Linked DNA regions of Oryctolagus cuniculus. Each later gene encodes a partner of the first gene's protein in a complex. Links are inferred from orthologs where the notes say so. Each region holds a gene or a part of one and is shown on either strand. Other genes may lie near its edges. The genes, in order: RASA1 and ARHGAP35.

Evidence for each region.
Region 2: the proteins of RASA1 (region 1) and ARHGAP35 are in contact, whole or in part, in a crystal structure (PDB 8DGQ), measured with the Homo sapiens proteins. The link is inferred for Oryctolagus cuniculus from reciprocal best matches to the Homo sapiens genes RASA1 and ARHGAP35. Residues at the interface, in NP_002881.1 of Homo sapiens: Arg188, Arg207, Ser209, Arg211, Val217, Asn228, His229, Phe230, Arg231, Ile241, Gly242, Tyr256, Leu262, Leu263, Lys264, Lys358, Ser379, Asp380, Asn381, Ser387, Gln397, Arg398, Phe399, Lys400, Met411, Gly412, Gly413, Arg414, His425, Tyr426; in NP_004482.4 of Homo sapiens: Ser1085, Asp1086, Tyr1087, Ala1088, Glu1089, Pro1090, Met1091, Asp1092, Ala1093, Val1094, Val1095, Arg1098, Glu1100, Asn1103, Ile1104, Tyr1105, Ser1106, Val1107, Pro1108, His1109.

What each region holds. Positions count from the first base shown.
Region 1 is NC_091445.1:10,199,259-10,203,115, forward strand, and holds the start of RASA1 (ras GTPase-activating protein 1), read left to right. Parts: upstream 1-791; 5' UTR 792-1,167; coding exon 1,168-1,658; intron 1,659-3,857. UniProt on the Homo sapiens protein: Inhibitory regulator of the Ras-cyclic AMP pathway. Stimulates the GTPase of normal but not oncogenic Ras p21; this stimulation may be further increased in the presence of NCK1.
Region 2 is NC_091449.1:10,575,242-10,579,114, reverse strand, and holds the start of ARHGAP35 (rho GTPase-activating protein 35), read left to right. Parts: upstream 1-1,051; 5' UTR 1,052-1,347; intron 1,348-2,228; exon of another isoform or gene 2,229-2,368; intron 2,369-3,873.

The DNA.
Region 1 (3,857 bases):
CTCACCGTCCACCTGGACGGGCGCCGGCACGGGGCGGCGGACACCGCGCTCCACACCACGACCGCCTGCCCGCACGGCTCCCGGCACCCGCGGCGCTTTCCCGAGTTCCGGGACTGCCGCCTTGGAGCTGACCTGCCAGTGCGGCAGTCGCCGTGCGGTCACTGCGCCCCACACCCGCGCTGCGCTGACCTTCGCCGCGCGCCCGCCCGCCCCGTCGGGCCTCCGCGCCGCCGCTTTTCGTCACCGTCAGCGAGCGCGGCAGTGGCTCCGGTGGGCTCTTCCTTCCGCTCCATGCTCTTCCAGCTCCTCTCGCCTCCCGGGGTTTCATGTCAGCCTGCCACACACACACACAGACACACACACACGCACACACACGCGCGCGCGCGCGCGGCCGGGCCAGGCCGCCGCGCCGCCTCCGCCCCTCGCGGGCCGCTTCCCGCCCCGCCCGCCCCGCGCGGCCGCGCCTGCGCAGAAGCCGCCCTCCGCCTCCGCCGCCCTTCCTCTCCCCGCCGCTCCTCCCCGGCCCCGCCCTCCTTTCTCTCTCTCTCTCTCTCTCCCTCCCGGTCTGTCTCGGGTTTCACTACCCGAGCGCTGCAGGTAGCGAGCAGCGCCGCGGTTTCCTCGCCACCCCGCCCCTCCCGCCTCCCCTGCCCACCCCTCCCCGCGCCGGGCTGGTGGAGGATGCAGCGGCTGCCGGGGCTGCGTCCCAGGCAGCGGCCCCGGCGGCGGCGGCTGCGGTGGGGGTGGCCGGAACTCGGGTGGTGAGCGAGCGGCGGCGGCTGAGGGAGCGGCGGCCGCCTCGGCCGCTTCCCCCGGGCTTCCCTTCCTCCCGAGCGCAGGAAGTTTTCCGCGTCCGTGCATGTGTGTGCGCGTGAGTGTGGGTGTGCGAGGCGAGCCCGGGGCGGCGTTTGTGCCGGCGCTGGGCTTTTTTTGCCCACTTGGCGCTCCGTAACGCAGGCGGCTCCGCGAGTCTGGGCTGTGGCCCGGGGAGGGGGCGCGGCGGCGGCGGCGGCGGCGGCGGCGGCGGGCTCTCTCCTTTTGTTGTTGTTTCCTCCGCCTGGGGAGCTGAAGGGGGGACGCGCCTGGGTGGGGCGGCTCGGAGCCCGGGCCTGCTGGCCCCCGGGGCTCCCGGGCGGGCCGCGCAGGCTGAGCGCAGCGGGCTTCAACATGATGGCCGCCGAGGCCGGCAGTGAGGAGGGCGGCCCGGTGGCTGCCGGAGCCGGAGGCGGCGGCGGCGGCGGCGGCGCGGCCGCGGGCTCCGGTGCCGCCTACCCGGTGGTGTGTCGCGTGAAGCTCCCCGCGGCCGCCGCCCCCTGCCCCGGGCTGGTGGAGGCCGGGGCGCTGGGTGGCGGGGCCGCTGTGGGGTCGGGGTTCCTGGGGGCCGGGTCCGTGGCGGGGGCCCTGGGGGGCGCGGGACTGACAGGGGGAGGCGCTGCTGGACCTAGTGGGGACATGGCCCTCCCCAAGGGGACCCCCTTGCTGCCGGCCGAGACCCTCGGGCCGGGCGGCGGCTTCCCGCCTCTGCCGCCGCCGCCGCCGCCTCTGCTGCCCCCGCTGGGTGCGGGTCTGGGCACGGTGGACGAAGGGGACTCCCTGGATGGACCAGAGTACGAGGAGGAAGAGGTGGCCATCCCGCTGACGGCGCCGCCGACTAACCAGTAAGTGGGCTGTGCGGTTGCGGGCTTGGGGGAAGACGCACCTTGTTCTCTGGCGGCTGTGATTTGTTGTGCAGAGTTGGTGGAGCTGCGGGTGTCGCGCGTAGGGATTTAACTGGAGCGCTCCTCTTCCCGACAGGCGGGCTCCCGGGGCGTCTTTGTGTGTTCATGGCTCCTCTGGGAAGATGTAGTTTTTAAGATGGGACGCATGGGAAAAGTGTGTGTCCAGTGAGAACCGGATATGGTTGTGTGCCCTGCAAATGGGTGCCCCAGGATTCGCCAAGCCTGCCCGGAGCCAAGGCAGTCGCAGTGTACATGGACTTGTGTGTGTGTGCGCCCTGATGAGTTAGTGTGTAGGGATAGCGTGGAGAGAAAACAATCCATTGACCAGAATGCTTTGCTTTTGTGGCACCGACTTCTCCAACTTCTGTCTACGAAGGCAGAGTGATGCAGCGAAGTGTTGATCCCTTAGGCGAACGTGGGTCCGGGAGAAAGAAGAGTTGTGAGAGTTAGGCGTGTGATGAAGGACTCAGGTTCTGAGCTGGTAACGTGTTTCGTAGACTGACTTGGTTGATGGACCTGTAATGCTTTTGTAGTTCAGACGCTCGAAGTACAGTCTTCATGCGAAACAGATTTTAACGGCGCTTCGCTTCAGAATTTTTGTTGGTGGCCAATACGGTCTTCTATTTGAAATTAATTTTGACATTTAGAATATGCAGGGCATGACTTTTTAAATATAACTTAAATGTTGGAACAGGAAGGGACACTAGTAGGCAAAACGTGATCTGTCACATCAGTCTTAAATGATGTTTAGGATTTCAGCAGCCTTGGTGAGCATCAGGAAAAAAACATTTGGTTGGTATGTGGATGGATGGTCACTCTGGACAAGCCAAAGGTGTTTTTTGTTTTGTTTTGTTTTGTTTTTAATACTTTGGAGGATTTAGAAAGACTTTAAAAAGTGATGAGGAGGGCTTGCAGCTGTGGTGTAACAGGTAAAGCTGCCACCTGCAGCAACAGCATTTCACATGAGCCTGGTTGGAAACCCAGGTGCTTCACTTCCAATCCAGGTCCCTGCTAATAACCTGGGAAAGCAGTGGAGAATGGCCCAAGTCCTTGGGTCCCTGCACCTACATCGGAGACCTGGAGGAGGCTCTTGGCTCCTGGCTTCTGCCTGGCCCTTGTGGCCATATGGGATATGGGGAGTGAACCATTGGATGGAAGATTCTCTAGCTCTGTGTCCCCCCCCCCCCCGCAATTCTGATTTTCAAAATGAATCTTAAGAAAAAAGTAATTAGGAAAATTAGGAAAAGATGCTGTATTACTGACACATTAATTTTTTTGTTTGATTTTATTCCAAGTTATTTCATGTGTGTGTCTTGCAGATTTCTTGGGAATGTTAAAAATTGGTTTTTTAGTGCTACTTGCACACCTTCGAGTCTTTTTTGGAAAAAATGACAGGTAAATATTATGTGCACACTTAATATTAAGTACTTATTGCTAAGGTTTTAATAAACTGTAATTTTTCATATTAAAAGAATCTAGTCTTATACCAGTTCATAACTGAATTGATTTAGGCCTATTTAGGATATTGTAGTTCAAAAAATTTTTTAATAGATTGTTATCTAGAGCAATTTTAGCTTACAGCAGAATTGAGTGGAAAGCAGAGTGTTCTTGTTAAATTTTTAATAATAAAGATGAGTGTGTACTTAGGAAAATATGGATTTGTGAGAAGTCTGTTCAGTGAGATTTTCATCATTTTTTTGTATTTAGGAGTAAGAATAAAACTTGTACGTCTGTGTATATGACAGTTGTTGATGTTCTAAAAGTACCCTCCATGTCTAAGTATGCTTTTAAAATATACTACTTAGAAGTGCAAATTTCCTTTTTTTTTTTAATCTTAGATGTCAATCTAGAGTTACTGGAGGCAATATAGTATAGTGGTTCAGTGTGCAAATTCTCAAGTTAGACAAGAGTTGAATTGGAATCATGACTCTCAAATAAATAAAATTTTTAAAGCAATTTACAAATATTTAATTGCAAGGCAGAGTTACAGAGAGAGAGAAAGAGAGACAGAATCTTCCATCTGCTGGTTCACTCCCCAAATGACCGGGGCTGGGCCAGGCTGAAGCTAGGAGCCTGGAACTGCATCCAGGTCTTCCACATAGATGTCGGGGCCCACCTCCTGGGCTGTCTTCGCTGCTT
Region 2 (3,873 bases), on another chromosome or scaffold:
AATCCCAGAGGGACCCCTTCTCGGTTCGGGGGACTCAAAGGTGACGGCGGCGGCCCCTCCCATCGCTGCCTCCCCTCCAGCGTCCGTAACGCCGGCTGCCTTCCAGCCATTTGCCCGGCGCTGGGCTGGCGGGCAAGGAGGCACGCCGAGCCAGGCCGGGCCGCCTTCCTCGTCCCAGGGACCCGGCCCACCTCGGGGTCAAGAGCAAGTCGGGCCGCCACGCGGGTCGCAGGCGCAGGTCCCCCGGCGCAGAGCACGCGCTCCGCAGCCCCGCCCCTTCTTCCGGGACGACGAATCGCCAGGCTCGGATTGGGCTGCGGCGGGCCACGCCTCCTCGCGCTGCCCAATCAACTCCCTCCCTGGGTGCGCTCCCTCCTCCCCGGCCCCGCCCCACCGCCCCACGTTACGTCGCCCCCTCTCTCTCTTCCTCCGTTATCCCGGGGGCCGCGGCTAGCGCGGCAAGCCCACCTCCCCGTGCCTCCCATTGGCTACCTAGGTCCCGCGCGAGCGGGATCGCGCCCTTTGCCCCCGCCTCCAGAGCCAGGCCATGCCTCTCCGCTCCAGTTTTCTCCTAGAGACCGCGCGAGGCTGCGGGGGGCGGCAGCGGCTGCTCCCGGCGCGCGCAAGGACGCGCGCTCCCACGGCGGGCCACGCCCTCCGCCTCGCGCCGGCCTCGGGCAGCCCCTTCCGCGCACGCGCACTCGCTCGCCCCGCTCCCTCAGCCCGTTCGCGGGTCTCCTCGCGCTCGGTGTCGCCGCCGCCGCCGCAGTCGCAGGAGCGGCATTTCCTCGGGGCGCAGGCGCACTGCACCGCCCGCTCCCAGTCCCAGACCGCAGCGGGCGCGCAGGCGCTCTCGCGGCTCCCGCTGCCTCGCGCCGGTTATCCGCACCGCCCCTCCCGCGGCGCGCGCCCAGGGGCCGTTATCCCCCTGCAGCGGTCCCGCGCCGCGCACGCGCAGTCCTGAGGCGGGGGGGTGCGTGTGTGTGTGTGTGTGCGCGCGCGCGGGCGCGGCGGCCGCAGGAAGGAGGCGCCGCCGCCGCCGCCATTGCGAGGGAGGAGGGAGGGAGGGAGCGAGCGAGGCTGGTCCGCCCTCCCCCTGGTTCCCGCCCCTCCCCCCTTCCCCTCCCCGCCCCCCGCCCCGAGGGAGAGCCGCGGCGCGGCGGGAGGAGGAGGTGGAGGAGGCGGAGGAGGGAGCCCGCGAGGGAGGGTCCGCCCGGCCCCCCGCCGCCGGAGCCGCCGCCGCCGCCGCAGCCGCCGCTGGACGAGGAGCAGGGGAACATGGCGCCGGGGCCGCCGTCGCCGCGGCCGGGATCCCCGAGGCCGGGGCCGCGCTGAGGGCGCAGGCTGGTGAGTGCGCGAGCTCGCGGGCCCCGGGCGGCGAGGCCGGGCGCCGCCCCGCTGCGGGGTCCAGGGGGAGGCGGGGACGGCGGGGCCCGGAGCCCGCGAACAATGGAGGAGCCGGAGGGGGAGGGGAGGGAGCGGCCCCCCAGGTCCCCGGGCCCCGCCGGCCCCGCCGCGTCGCGCTCGGGCCCGGCCCGCAGGGCCCGCCTGCCCTTCGGACTCGCCCCTGTCCGCCCGGGGCCTGCTGTCCCCGCGTCTGCTCCCATCCCCAGCCCGTCGGGACCTGGTGTCTGCCTGGCCCCCCACCCCCGTCAGCCCTCCCTGCTCGCAGTTCCGCGCCTCCCCTCCCCTCCCCTGCCCCTCGGGGATGCCCTTGGCCGCTCCTGGCCTCCGCAGTGCCCTGGGGACCCACCTCCTCCCCGGTGACCCCTTGTGCATCCCTGCGTTCCGCTCCCCGATTCTGCTGCCACCACGCTGGGGCTCTGGCCCCGGCTCCTGGGTGGACCTGTCCGGTAGTCCTGCCTCCCGGTCTCTCGCGCCCCCAGGAGCTGTCCCTTGAGGACCTGCGGGTGCTTCTTGGAGATCCAGCCAACACCCCCGTTCGCGGGGGCACGGCTGCGCCCAGGTCTTCGCCTAGGACGTCCCTGCTCCTCCCCGGGGGCCCTGCAGCCCTTCGCGTCGGGCCCTCGTCTCCATCCCGGGGATGCTGCTGGCCGGGCCTCTGGCCCCGCAGCCCCTGCGTGCGCCGTGCTGGCCTGCTGCCCCGCTCAGCTTTTGCTCCAGACCTTTCTGCCTCCCTGCTCTGCCCCTCGCCCGACCTCGGTGCCTGCTGGGCCTCCTCCCCCTTCAAGGTGCCTGCCTGCCCTCTCTAACCAGCCGGAGCTCACCCCCAGTTCCCTCGCAGGTGTCCTCGTCCGCGCCTTCTTCTCGGGGCTCCTCTGAGCTGCCCTGCCGGCCGCTCCCTCTTTTTGGGACTGTCTCCCCTCCAGCCCTGCCCGGCCCGAGCCTGCTTCCTGCCGCCGCCTCCGCCCTGCCCCCTGACTGCTCCTGGACTTGCCCGGTGCCTCTGCCCCCGCCGCGTCCGCAGCTCCCAGGCCTGCATCTTCGCTCTGCGCCCATCCCCGGCCCCGGCCCCGGCCCCGGCCCGTGCGCCTGTGGGTAGCCGTCCTGTGGCCGTGCCCTGTTGGAGGGGTCCTCTCTAGCCGGTCTTCTGACAACTGCCTCCTATCCGTTCCCTCCGCGGTCCGCCCGACCTGCTGCCCCTCTGTGCCCACTGCTGCGGCCCTGGCCTCTCTGCTGGGACACTAAGCTGTCGTCTTAGCCGTTCCTTCCTCTGGGAGCCGCCTCAGCTCTTCGCTAGGTCACTCCCTCTCCATACCCCTCTCGCGGTCTGTGCCTCCGTGTCTCCTCGCCTTTCCCCCCTTTCCCCACCGCATCCTGCCTGGCTCCTTCTCTTCCCATCCAGTTCCTGTCGGACCTGCCTCTGCCGGCTCCCCACCCATGGCTCAGCATTGCCGGAGTGCTTCCCCTTTGCAGGCCTGGCGGGCTCTGGGCCCCAGCCCTCAGCTCTGAGGCTGACCTGACCCCCCCTCCCGGGGCTCTGTCCCCAGGATCCCCAGAGAGCCGGGTGAATAGGTTCCTGCTCCCTGGAGTCTGGAAGTGTCTCCACGGCTCCCACCTCTCCCGAGGCTAGTGGAGTGTCGGGAGTGGCTCGCACTCGGGCCTGGTTTCCTCTCCCCTTCCCATCCCTGGGCTTTGCAGCTTTGTGTCCCCTGGACTGCAGCTGCTCGCAGGTCCTTATCTCTCCTGGGCTGGGGCAGGGAGACACTTGCCCCAAGGCAGTCCTGCTGGGAGATCTTAGGAGTGTGCTTTTTTGTTTTTTTCCAGCTGACAAGTCGTGTTTCTGTTTTACCCCTAGCTGGGGAAATGCCAGTTCTCAAGTTCTCCTCAGTCCCTCGGGGCTATGGCCACACTTGGTGTTTACTGCTCTGGGCCTGCAGAAGCCACGGAGCCCTGGCTTCCCGGAGCCCTGGCTTCCCTGACGGCCTCCGCTTGGCCGGCTGACCTTGGGGGAGGGGCTCGGAGGAGGTGGGTTTCTTTCTTTTTCACCCCTGCCCCAGGAAGGCTCCAGCTTGCCGGTCTTCAGCCTGGTGCAGCCTGGTGAGGGCCTGGGTTTGCAAAGCTTTGCGGTTGTTTGTTGAAAGAGAGAGTGCCAAGTGTCACAGGGATTTCTGCCCCCTGGCACTGCAGGCGCTCCCAGCCACAGGAGCCGAGAGCCTCTGGCCAGATCCACAGGCTAATCCAGGGGCGCGGTGTGCAGGGGTGTGTGGGTGGGCCATGACGTTCCCCAAGCAAACCCTTTGGGTGACCTGGTTTGATGGCGTGGAGAGGGGTGCCGGGAGCTGGCTGATGGGGTGGATTTAGACTTCTTACCTGGGAACTGTGCCTTGTTACCTTTCATTGAGCTGTTCTCTTCAGTGGTCTGCTGGGGCTGGGGCTTAGGAAATCGATTGGGAGGTAGAGATGGTTTTG